2 linked regions of the Saccharomyces cerevisiae S288C genome follow. The gene in region 2 interacts genetically with the main gene of each other region. Each region holds a gene or a part of one and is shown on either strand. Other genes may lie near its edges.

Evidence for each region. Genes that interact genetically often act in the same process or in processes that back each other up.
Region 1: mutations in ARP2 (region 2) and SHE4 are lethal when combined (synthetic lethality), as found in Saccharomyces cerevisiae (5 studies listed by BioGRID, with this or other methods).

What each region holds. Positions count from the first base shown.
Region 1 is NC_001147.6:396,275-401,988, forward strand, and holds SHE4 (She4p), read right to left. Parts: upstream 3,831-5,714; coding exon 1,461-3,830; downstream 1-1,460. Other genes in the region: putative palmitoyltransferase AKR2, read right to left, coding at 1-812; YOR034C-A (uncharacterized protein), read right to left, coding at 1,152-1,394; SNAP receptor PEP12, read left to right, coding at 4,074-4,940; CYC2 (oxidoreductase), read left to right, coding at 5,281-5,714. UniProt on the Saccharomyces cerevisiae protein: Required for mother cell-specific ho expression. Might be required for the transport of factors (such as ASH1) that promote HO repression from the mother cell into its bud.
Region 2 is NC_001136.10:397,689-401,138, forward strand, and holds ARP2 (actin-related protein 2), read left to right. Parts: upstream 1-1,651; coding exon 1,652-1,673; intron 1,674-1,796; coding exon 1,797-2,950; downstream 2,951-3,450. Other genes in the region: SF3a splicing factor complex subunit PRP9, read left to right, coding at 1-1,441; serine/threonine/tyrosine protein kinase MPS1, read right to left, coding at 3,309-3,450. UniProt on the Saccharomyces cerevisiae protein: Functions as ATP-binding component of the Arp2/3 complex which is involved in regulation of actin polymerization and together with an activating nucleation-promoting factor (NPF) mediates the formation of branched actin networks.

The sequences.
Region 1 (5,714 bases), on a different chromosome or scaffold from region 2:
AGTGATTTGGTTCCCATTCCTTCGGCTAGATCAAAACAGTCTTGCTTCTGGTTATTCCTTTCGTAGAAATTTGCACCGCTAAGTATTAAGTCACATATGACCCTTTGATCACCTCCAACTAGAGCACAATGGAGAGCATTGAACCCTCTGTTGTCCGTCCATGCAACTGTGGAGCCAAATTTCAATAAAAGTTCTACAGTGAGAAAATCTCCTTGATAAGCAGCCCAAAGTAGGGGTGTTCTGTTATTGTTATCTTTTGAATCGATATCGACGTTGTCATTGTTGTTTACGACAAAATAAAGAACATAAACAACAAGTAAAATGTTAGAACTGTAAACGCTAAAATGCATGATGTTAAGACCCTGCTCATCTTTGAGCGTCGGATCAGCGCCATGTTTGAGAAGCAGGTCAACAATGTAGATATTACCGTACCTTGCGGCCCAGTGCAAAGCAGTAGCCCCTCCGGGGCCTGCCGCCTGGTTAGGATTTGCTCCCCTAAGTAATAGGAACTTTGCTACAGAAAACCTATTGTTTATACAGGCCCAGTGTAAGCCGGATAATTCATCAATGCGGTCGTTATTAATATCCACTGCTCCACTTTCGACCACGTCCTTCACCACTTTTAAATCCCCATCCTTAGCGGCTTCAATGAAAATATCAACCACATATTCAGTGTTGGATCCATCGCCTAGAAGTTGCGCTTTGTTATTGTCCGAATCACTTACAGCGTGTTGAGCCACATCAGTGACAACAGCTGCCCCATTAGAAGTTTTTTTCACGTTCTCATCATCAATAATTGACATACTGGTCATAAGAAACAGTAGAGTATTTCACAGGTAATTAAGATGTTTATCTGACCGATGAACTTTACAACTTGCTAGTAAAAAGTTGGTGGAGTTCAGTTATTATTAAATGAAAAATGCAAAGTTTTGACGCTTTCTAATTGTAAACGACAAAGTGAATGATAAAAAGATCGCTGAACGAAAGATGATTCCAAATACTCAAAAATAGCAGCCATACAAACTGGAACTACTAAATTCAACTAAGATTAAGCGATTAAGAAGTCAGGCTCGTTTAACAACAAGCTTGGTACATCCCAGGCTGCACGAAGTCGTAACTTAAAAAAAAATAAAGAAGCGAAAAAGAGAAGATCATTTCCTTTGGCATCTATTGTTTGCGAAGCCATCGGACCGAGGCACCTTTGAAAAAAAAAAAAAGGAGCACTTTCTTCCTTTTTCTCTCACCCAGATTCTTTTAGAACACGTAGGGTACCAGACATAATTTAGAGTAGTGTGATACTTCTGGTGTAAAAATAGAACAAAATATATAAAGGGCACCACTACCAGAGGATATTCTCTGGCTACGAAAATCTTACATAGTTCTTGTGTGTTCATTATCAGGGTGCTGTTGTATTTCTTAGTGAAAATTAAGAAGAGTTAAACATGGCGATTCTTTCCATATTAGACTTTAATTTTAGCAAGGATAACGGGAATTGCCGCTGAAAACTCTGGTCCTGAATCGCCTCTCTTTAAAGACATATTTAAAGCATCCTTTAATTTTTGATTTTCTTGCAGCAACGGATACACCTCGTTAGTGCCATTATCCGGTATCACTTCGAATAATCCAAAAAAAAGCATAAGTAACCTTTGTCTTAACTCAATGTCATCAATTTGATCCGCAAATACCTGAATAGCATTTTCGATTAGTTCTTTCTTGGTTAACAGTTCCTTAGCTATCAATGGAATCGTGGTGGCAATGTTAGCAAAGATAGCAGCCACTGCTCGTTGAGACTCAACGTCGGATAACTGAAGAAGTTTCACCAATATATTAAAATTTCTCAAACTCTGAGGATTTTCCAAGTTAAAGAACTTAGCAGCAATCGTTAATGGATGACTCATCATATTACTTATGAGCTCTAATGTTGATCTTTGCAAAGGAACGTTTTCGTCTAGCATCAGATTCTCAATCGTGGACCAATATACTTTTGTAGATACGATATGCTTGCAAACTTCTTCACCATCAGAGGTCTCCGATGATGCCAAGTTCGTCAGAGCTAATAGTGCCTCGTAATTGTCTGTCAGCTTTATTTGTTCGTCGTTATGTAACGGATTGTCATCCACTGGCGTAGACCTTGGCAACAATTCGAACAAGAAGGGGATAGCGTTTAATGCAGAGTATTTTTTAAATATCAAACCCGGATTAGTGAATATTAGCATTCTTGTTAATGCCCGACACCCTAGAATCCGTATTGGCTCCCCTATGTCCTGCTTATTGGCCAAATATTCTAAGATGATAGTTGTACCACCTTGTGAAATGCATTGAGGAATGAAGTTTTTCGAGCGGGTTATGTTATATATAACCCTAACCACTTGTTGTTTACAATTGGGGCTCAAATTGTGCATTTCCCTCTTCAAAAAGGAAATCAGCTCGGTCCTTAATATGTACTTTTCGTTAAACAAAAGAATATCTTCCTTTGATTCTTTCTCTGCGCCTACCTTGTCTGCGCCTGGGCCCTTCAAATCTGCGTAATTTTTTAAGTCATTGATAGACTGTGAACTACCATTGGATTCCTCTGGTAAAGTGGACAAATTTGCCATGATAACTAAGAGACCATATAAACAGTGCGTCATTTTCTGGCTTTTAATCATAGTTAATAGAATTTCAGTAAAGCTCTCGTTACTCCTAATCATAATCTTAACCGAGGCCTTTAGACTTAAATATGCCAGCGCTTCAACGGACATTTCAACTTTAGGAACCTCCTCGAGCTTAACCGCACTTTCATTGACATTTTCAATTTTTGGCATGATACGTCTTGAAATAGCGTTTATAAAGATTTCGGACAGTTGCTTCAAGTTTATACACGTTAATTTTGTGAAAGACCATGTCTTAACTAACACCAATGCAGAATATATTTGTACATCTTCCACGTTTAGTGATCTTTCCAATAGTTGAAGGTAATTTTCTGTAATATACGTTCTCATGGTCTCATCAATACACGCGGAAGATAATAACCGCAGCAGTTCTTTTGTAAACTGTAAATCCTGCTCTTCGAATACTCTCTTCTTAAAAAGCTTACTTAGTCCTTTGGTCAAAAATATTTCAGAACAAAGTGTTGTCAATGAAGGATATAATTCTGATAGGGTTTTGACTATGATGGACAATGGATCATTTCCAACGTCTATTTCTGCCTCCACAATTAAGCTACTCATGAAATCGACCACTGCTTTATCAAAGTCTTTTTGGAAGCTTGATTGTAATTCAGCAAAAATTATAAGCATCATCGATTTTACTTCATCTTCGCTTATGCGCAAAATAAGTTCCTTCACTAAAAATCGCACCTCCTTGAAATTGTACTTGAACTTATTCAATAGTTGTAGAATTATGCTCAGTAAATACGTGACGTGGGTGTCCTCGCCATAGTGTATCCTAATTTGCAGCTCATTTAACAATGCAATTGTTGCGTCTTTATTGGAAAAGCAACCAACGAAAACGTGGATGGATGATCTTGATAATATTTCAAATAAATTGAGTGCGAAGGGAATATCATTCTGTATAAGTTTAGATAAATGTACGCGGGACTCAGAATGGTCTTGGTAAGACCTGGTCAATATTTCTTCGATTTTCTGACGATCTTTAAGGGCTTCACTATTCGTTAAATCAGCCGGCATTTTCCCAGATTCAGATTTTTGCCTTAGCTGGAAAATTGTATTTATAGCATCATTGTATTTTTGGACATCAGGGGTGGATTTCAAAGTCTTGTCAAATGCAGCGCAGAGGCTATCAATAGTAGAGCTATCGATTGGATCATTCCCTTTCTCACACAGTGGCATCGTGATTCTAATTTTTTAGTAATCTTTTCATGTGAGTAGTTTAGATAAAACGTCTTCACTATTAAGTAGAAGATTCGTAATTGGATTTAAGCCTTCGTGCCTTATCGCGGCTGATAATCATCATGATCGACGATGAACTACTGCGCCAGAGTATAATCCCCTATAAAACAGGCCTGCTATCACTCCAAAGAGAATGCTTTTATAGAAGAATATAACGTAAATTACTACAATAATTGTGTTGAGATGTCGGAAGACGAATTTTTTGGTGGTGATAATGAAGCCGTTTGGAACGGTTCCAGATTCAGTGATTCACCTGAGTTCCAAACGTTGAAAGAAGAGGTTGCTGCAGAGTTATTTGAAATAAATGGGCAAATAAGCACGCTGCAGCAGTTTACCGCGACACTTAAGTCATTTATAGATCGGGGAGATGTTAGTGCGAAAGTTGTGGAAAGAATTAATAAGAGATCTGTGGCAAAGATAGAAGAAATAGGCGGGCTCATTAAAAAGGTCAATACATCAGTGAAAAAGATGGATGCGATTGAGGAAGCTAGCCTGGATAAGACTCAAATAATAGCGAGAGAGAAACTTGTGAGGGATGTCAGTTACTCTTTTCAAGAGTTTCAAGGTATTCAGCGGCAGTTTACCCAAGTAATGAAACAAGTTAATGAAAGAGCAAAAGAATCTCTTGAAGCAAGTGAGATGGCAAATGATGCTGCTTTATTAGATGAAGAACAAAGGCAGAATAGCTCAAAAAGTACTCGAATACCAGGCAGCCAAATAGTCATTGAGAGAGACCCGATAAATAACGAAGAGTTTGCTTATCAGCAAAATCTTATCGAGCAAAGAGACCAGGAAATCAGCAATATTGAAAGAGGTATAACGGAACTGAACGAAGTTTTTAAAGATTTGGGAAGTGTTGTTCAACAGCAGGGTGTGCTAGTTGACAATATTGAAGCAAATATTTATACAACGTCAGATAACACTCAATTGGCTTCAGACGAGCTAAGGAAGGCCATGCGGTACCAAAAACGTACGAGCAGATGGAGGGTGTATTTGTTGATTGTGCTTCTCGTAATGCTTCTTTTTATTTTTCTCATTATGAAATTGTAAACCAAACCAACACACGTCGTCAAATATCATATACATAATATATACACTTAAAACAGATTCGTGTTAATGAACTTGTTTTGCACTTTCACTGTACAATGCATGGGCTCTCTCATAATATTTCTACGCCGTCGCATCTTAACCAGCCGCAAAGAGAGAGTATATTCCATAATTCAGTTTTTCGCCTTTCCTTGCCCTTCTGAAATGTTGTTAATATCATCATACCCTAATGAAGAGTGAAAATTCACTTAACCCAAGTGAAAAATACAACTTCGAAGAGTGCAACGTGTTGAAAGAACCCTTCAAAAATAGAAAAGAGGAAACGAAAAAAAGAAAAAGTAGCATGCTGTGGAAAAATTATGTTCTATCCAGTTCCCGAATAACACGTAGGCTTCATAAGTCACCTAGAAAGAGCAGCTTCTCTAAGAACTTTTTTATCACAGGCTGCCTACTGACAGTTGGAGCAGTAAGCAGTTATTTAACCTACAGGTACACAAGTGAGAGGGAAAACAAACATGAGTTATCTCCATCTTATTTTGTCAAGTACAAGATTTCACACAAGCGAGATATTGATTCATCACATTTTTTATTGGAAGTAACTCCGTTGTTTAAGCAGAAAGTTAACATATGGTCATTGATGACTGCGGAAAATCTGTGGTCCGTCGAGATCAAACAACCGGAAGTCATGGTGGTCCGCAATTATACGCCTCTACCGCTTAAATTTAACCCAGCTTCAAAAGAGATTGAAATCTTAAAAGATGGTGACAATGCAGATGG
Region 2 (3,450 bases):
ATCGTTGATTGCAGAGAATAAAATATACAAGTTTAAAAAGGTTAAGAGGAAGAGAAAACAGATAATTTTGCAGCAACATGAGATAAATATTTTTCTTCGAGACTACCAAGAGAAACAACAAACTTTTAATAAAATCAATCGTCCAGAAGAGACACAGGAGGATGACAAGGATTTGCCTAATTTCGAAAGAAAACTACAACAGCTAGAGAAGGAACTGAAAAATGAAGATGAGAACTTTGAATTGGATATCAACTCTAAAAAAGACAAATACGCTTTATTCTCATCTTCTTCTGATCCATCGAGGCGCACAAATATATTGTCTGACAGAGCTCGAGACCTAGACTTAAATGAAATATTTACTAGAGATGAGCAATATGGTGAATATATGGAGCTGGAACAATTTCATTCTTTATGGTTGAATGTAATTAAACGGGGCGATTGTTCACTGCTTCAATTTCTCGACATCCTAGAATTATTTTTGGACGACGAGAAATATTTGCTAACCCCACCGATGGATCGCAAGAATGATAGATACATGGCCTTTTTGCTAAAGTTGAGCAAATATGTAGAAACTTTTTTCTTCAAAAGTTATGCTTTGCTTGACGCTGCGGCAGTTGAAAATCTAATCAAATCTGACTTCGAACATTCATACTGTAGGGGATCTCTTCGGTCCGAGGCAAAAGGTATCTATTGCCCTTTTTGTTCGAGGTGGTTCAAGACATCTTCCGTTTTCGAAAGCCATTTAGTAGGGAAAATTCATAAGAAAAATGAATCTAAAAGAAGAAATTTTGTGTACTCTGAATATAAACTGCATCGGTATTTGAAATATTTAAATGATGAATTTTCTCGAACGAGAAGTTTTGTTGAAAGAAAACTGGCATTTACTGCAAATGAAAGAATGGCAGAAATGGATATCTTAACACAGAAGTATGAAGCACCTGCATATGATTCGACGGAAAAAGAGGGGGCCGAACAAGTGGATGGTGAGCAGAGAGATGGTCAACTGCAAGAAGAGCACCTCTCTGGTAAATCGTTTGACATGCCATTGGGTCCGGATGGATTGCCTATGCCATACTGGCTATACAAACTGCATGGGCTTGACAGAGAGTATCGCTGCGAAATTTGTTCGAATAAAGTTTATAATGGGCGACGCACTTTTGAAAGACATTTCAACGAAGAAAGACATATTTATCACTTGCGATGCCTTGGTATCGAACCTTCTTCAGTATTCAAGGGCATAACCAAAATTAAGGAGGCACAAGAGCTCTGGAAAAATATGCAGGGGCAGTCACAGTTGACATCTATTGCAGCAGTTCCCCCAAAGCCTAATCCTTCACAACTAAAAGTTCCTACAGAATTAGAACTAGAAGAAGAAGACGAAGAAGGAAATGTAATGAGTAAGAAGGTCTACGATGAACTTAAGAAGCAAGGTTTGGTGTGAAATCTCTCTGTGATATGTATATTTGTTTGATAGATAGCAGTTGTATGTATTTATACTATTCTTAGTAATGACCTTATTACCCGTCTTGTAGAATTGAAAGGCGAAAAACAATTTGAGGACCCATATAATGGAAGAAAACGGACGTGAAAGTTAAATATACGTACCAGAAGACAAATCACAGTAATAAACTAACAAAACTATATAATAATAATGGACCCACATAATCCAATTGGTATGTTGTTGATATTTTTAGTGTTTGTGGAGGCAATTGAGCTCGGTGCCCCTTTTGGCTTTGCCTCTTTTGCATTTTAGTTCTTTTACCCCTATATTATTAATACTAACCATCTCGATATAGTCCTTGATCAGGGTACTGGTTTCGTCAAAATTGGTCGTGCTGGCGAGAATTTCCCAGATTACACGTTTCCTTCTATTGTTGGTAGACCCATCTTGAGGGCGGAAGAACGTGCCAGCGTTGCTACACCATTAAAGGACATTATGATTGGTGATGAGGCAAGTGAAGTTCGCTCTTATCTGCAAATATCTTATCCTATGGAAAACGGTATTATTAAGAATTGGACAGATATGGAACTTCTTTGGGATTACGCCTTTTTCGAGCAAATGAAACTACCATCCACCTCCAACGGTAAGATTTTACTAACGGAACCTCCAATGAATCCGCTGAAAAATAGGGAAAAAATGTGTGAGGTAATGTTCGAAAAATACGATTTTGGCGGAGTTTATGTTGCCATCCAAGCTGTTCTAGCATTGTACGCACAAGGTTTGTCTTCAGGAGTCGTCGTCGATTCCGGTGACGGTGTTACTCATATAGTCCCAGTTTACGAATCTGTCGTTTTGAGCCACTTAACAAGAAGATTAGATGTTGCGGGTAGAGACGTTACTAGGCATTTGATTGATCTGCTTTCTCGTCGTGGTTATGCATTTAACAGAACTGCAGATTTCGAAACTGTGCGTCAGATAAAGGAAAAATTATGTTATGTTTCATATGATTTAGACCTAGATACAAAATTGGCTAGAGAAACAACCGCCCTTGTGGAATCGTATGAGTTACCAGATGGCAGGACAATCAAAGTGGGACAAGAGAGATTTGAAGCACCAGAATGTTTGTTCCAACCTGGTTTGGTTGACGTTGAACAACCTGGCGTGGGCGAGCTGTTATTTAATACTGTGCAATCGGCTGATGTTGATATCAGAAGTTCCCTGTATAAGGCCATTGTTCTTTCAGGTGGTTCAAGTATGTACCCAGGGCTGCCTTCGAGATTAGAGAAAGAATTGAAACAATTATGGTTTAGTAGAGTTTTACACAATGACCCTTCAAGACTTGATAAATTCAAAGTTAGAATTGAAGATCCTCCAAGGAGAAAGCATATGGTTTTCATTGGTGGTGCCGTTTTAGCTAGTATCATGGCTGATAAAGACCACATGTGGTTGTCTAAGCAAGAATGGCAAGAAAGCGGGCCATCTGCAATGACTAAATTTGGTCCAAGATAGATTTGAACTTTATTGATCCAAAAGAATTAATAAAAAAGTTTAAATCTACGAATGAAAAATGGAAATGGAATAATATAAACTTATATATAAATGTAATAAGTTAATAAGGCACAATTGTTGAACAAGCAATCAAAATATAATATTTCACTGAGCGCCGTTAGAGGATAGTTATCCTTTTCTTGGTATTTCAAGTATTCAGTGTCTGTGTCGAAAAATTGATTGATGATTTATTTAAATGAATATATATAAATATGTAAAAAAGAGTTGATCAAAGTAAATAAATCAGTACATGCATGGCAAACTCTAAATGTATTTATGTTCATAACTGGCACATGCTTTTCTTCCTTATGCGGCTCTTCTAAATTTTGTAATCTGCAAATTTCCTTAAAACAGTGTCTACCACATCATTGAGATCATCTTGTGATATATGAGGCTTCTCAGAGCCATATCTAACGGCATTCCTAATAAGGTCTTCCATAATCGATCCGGATATCATAAAA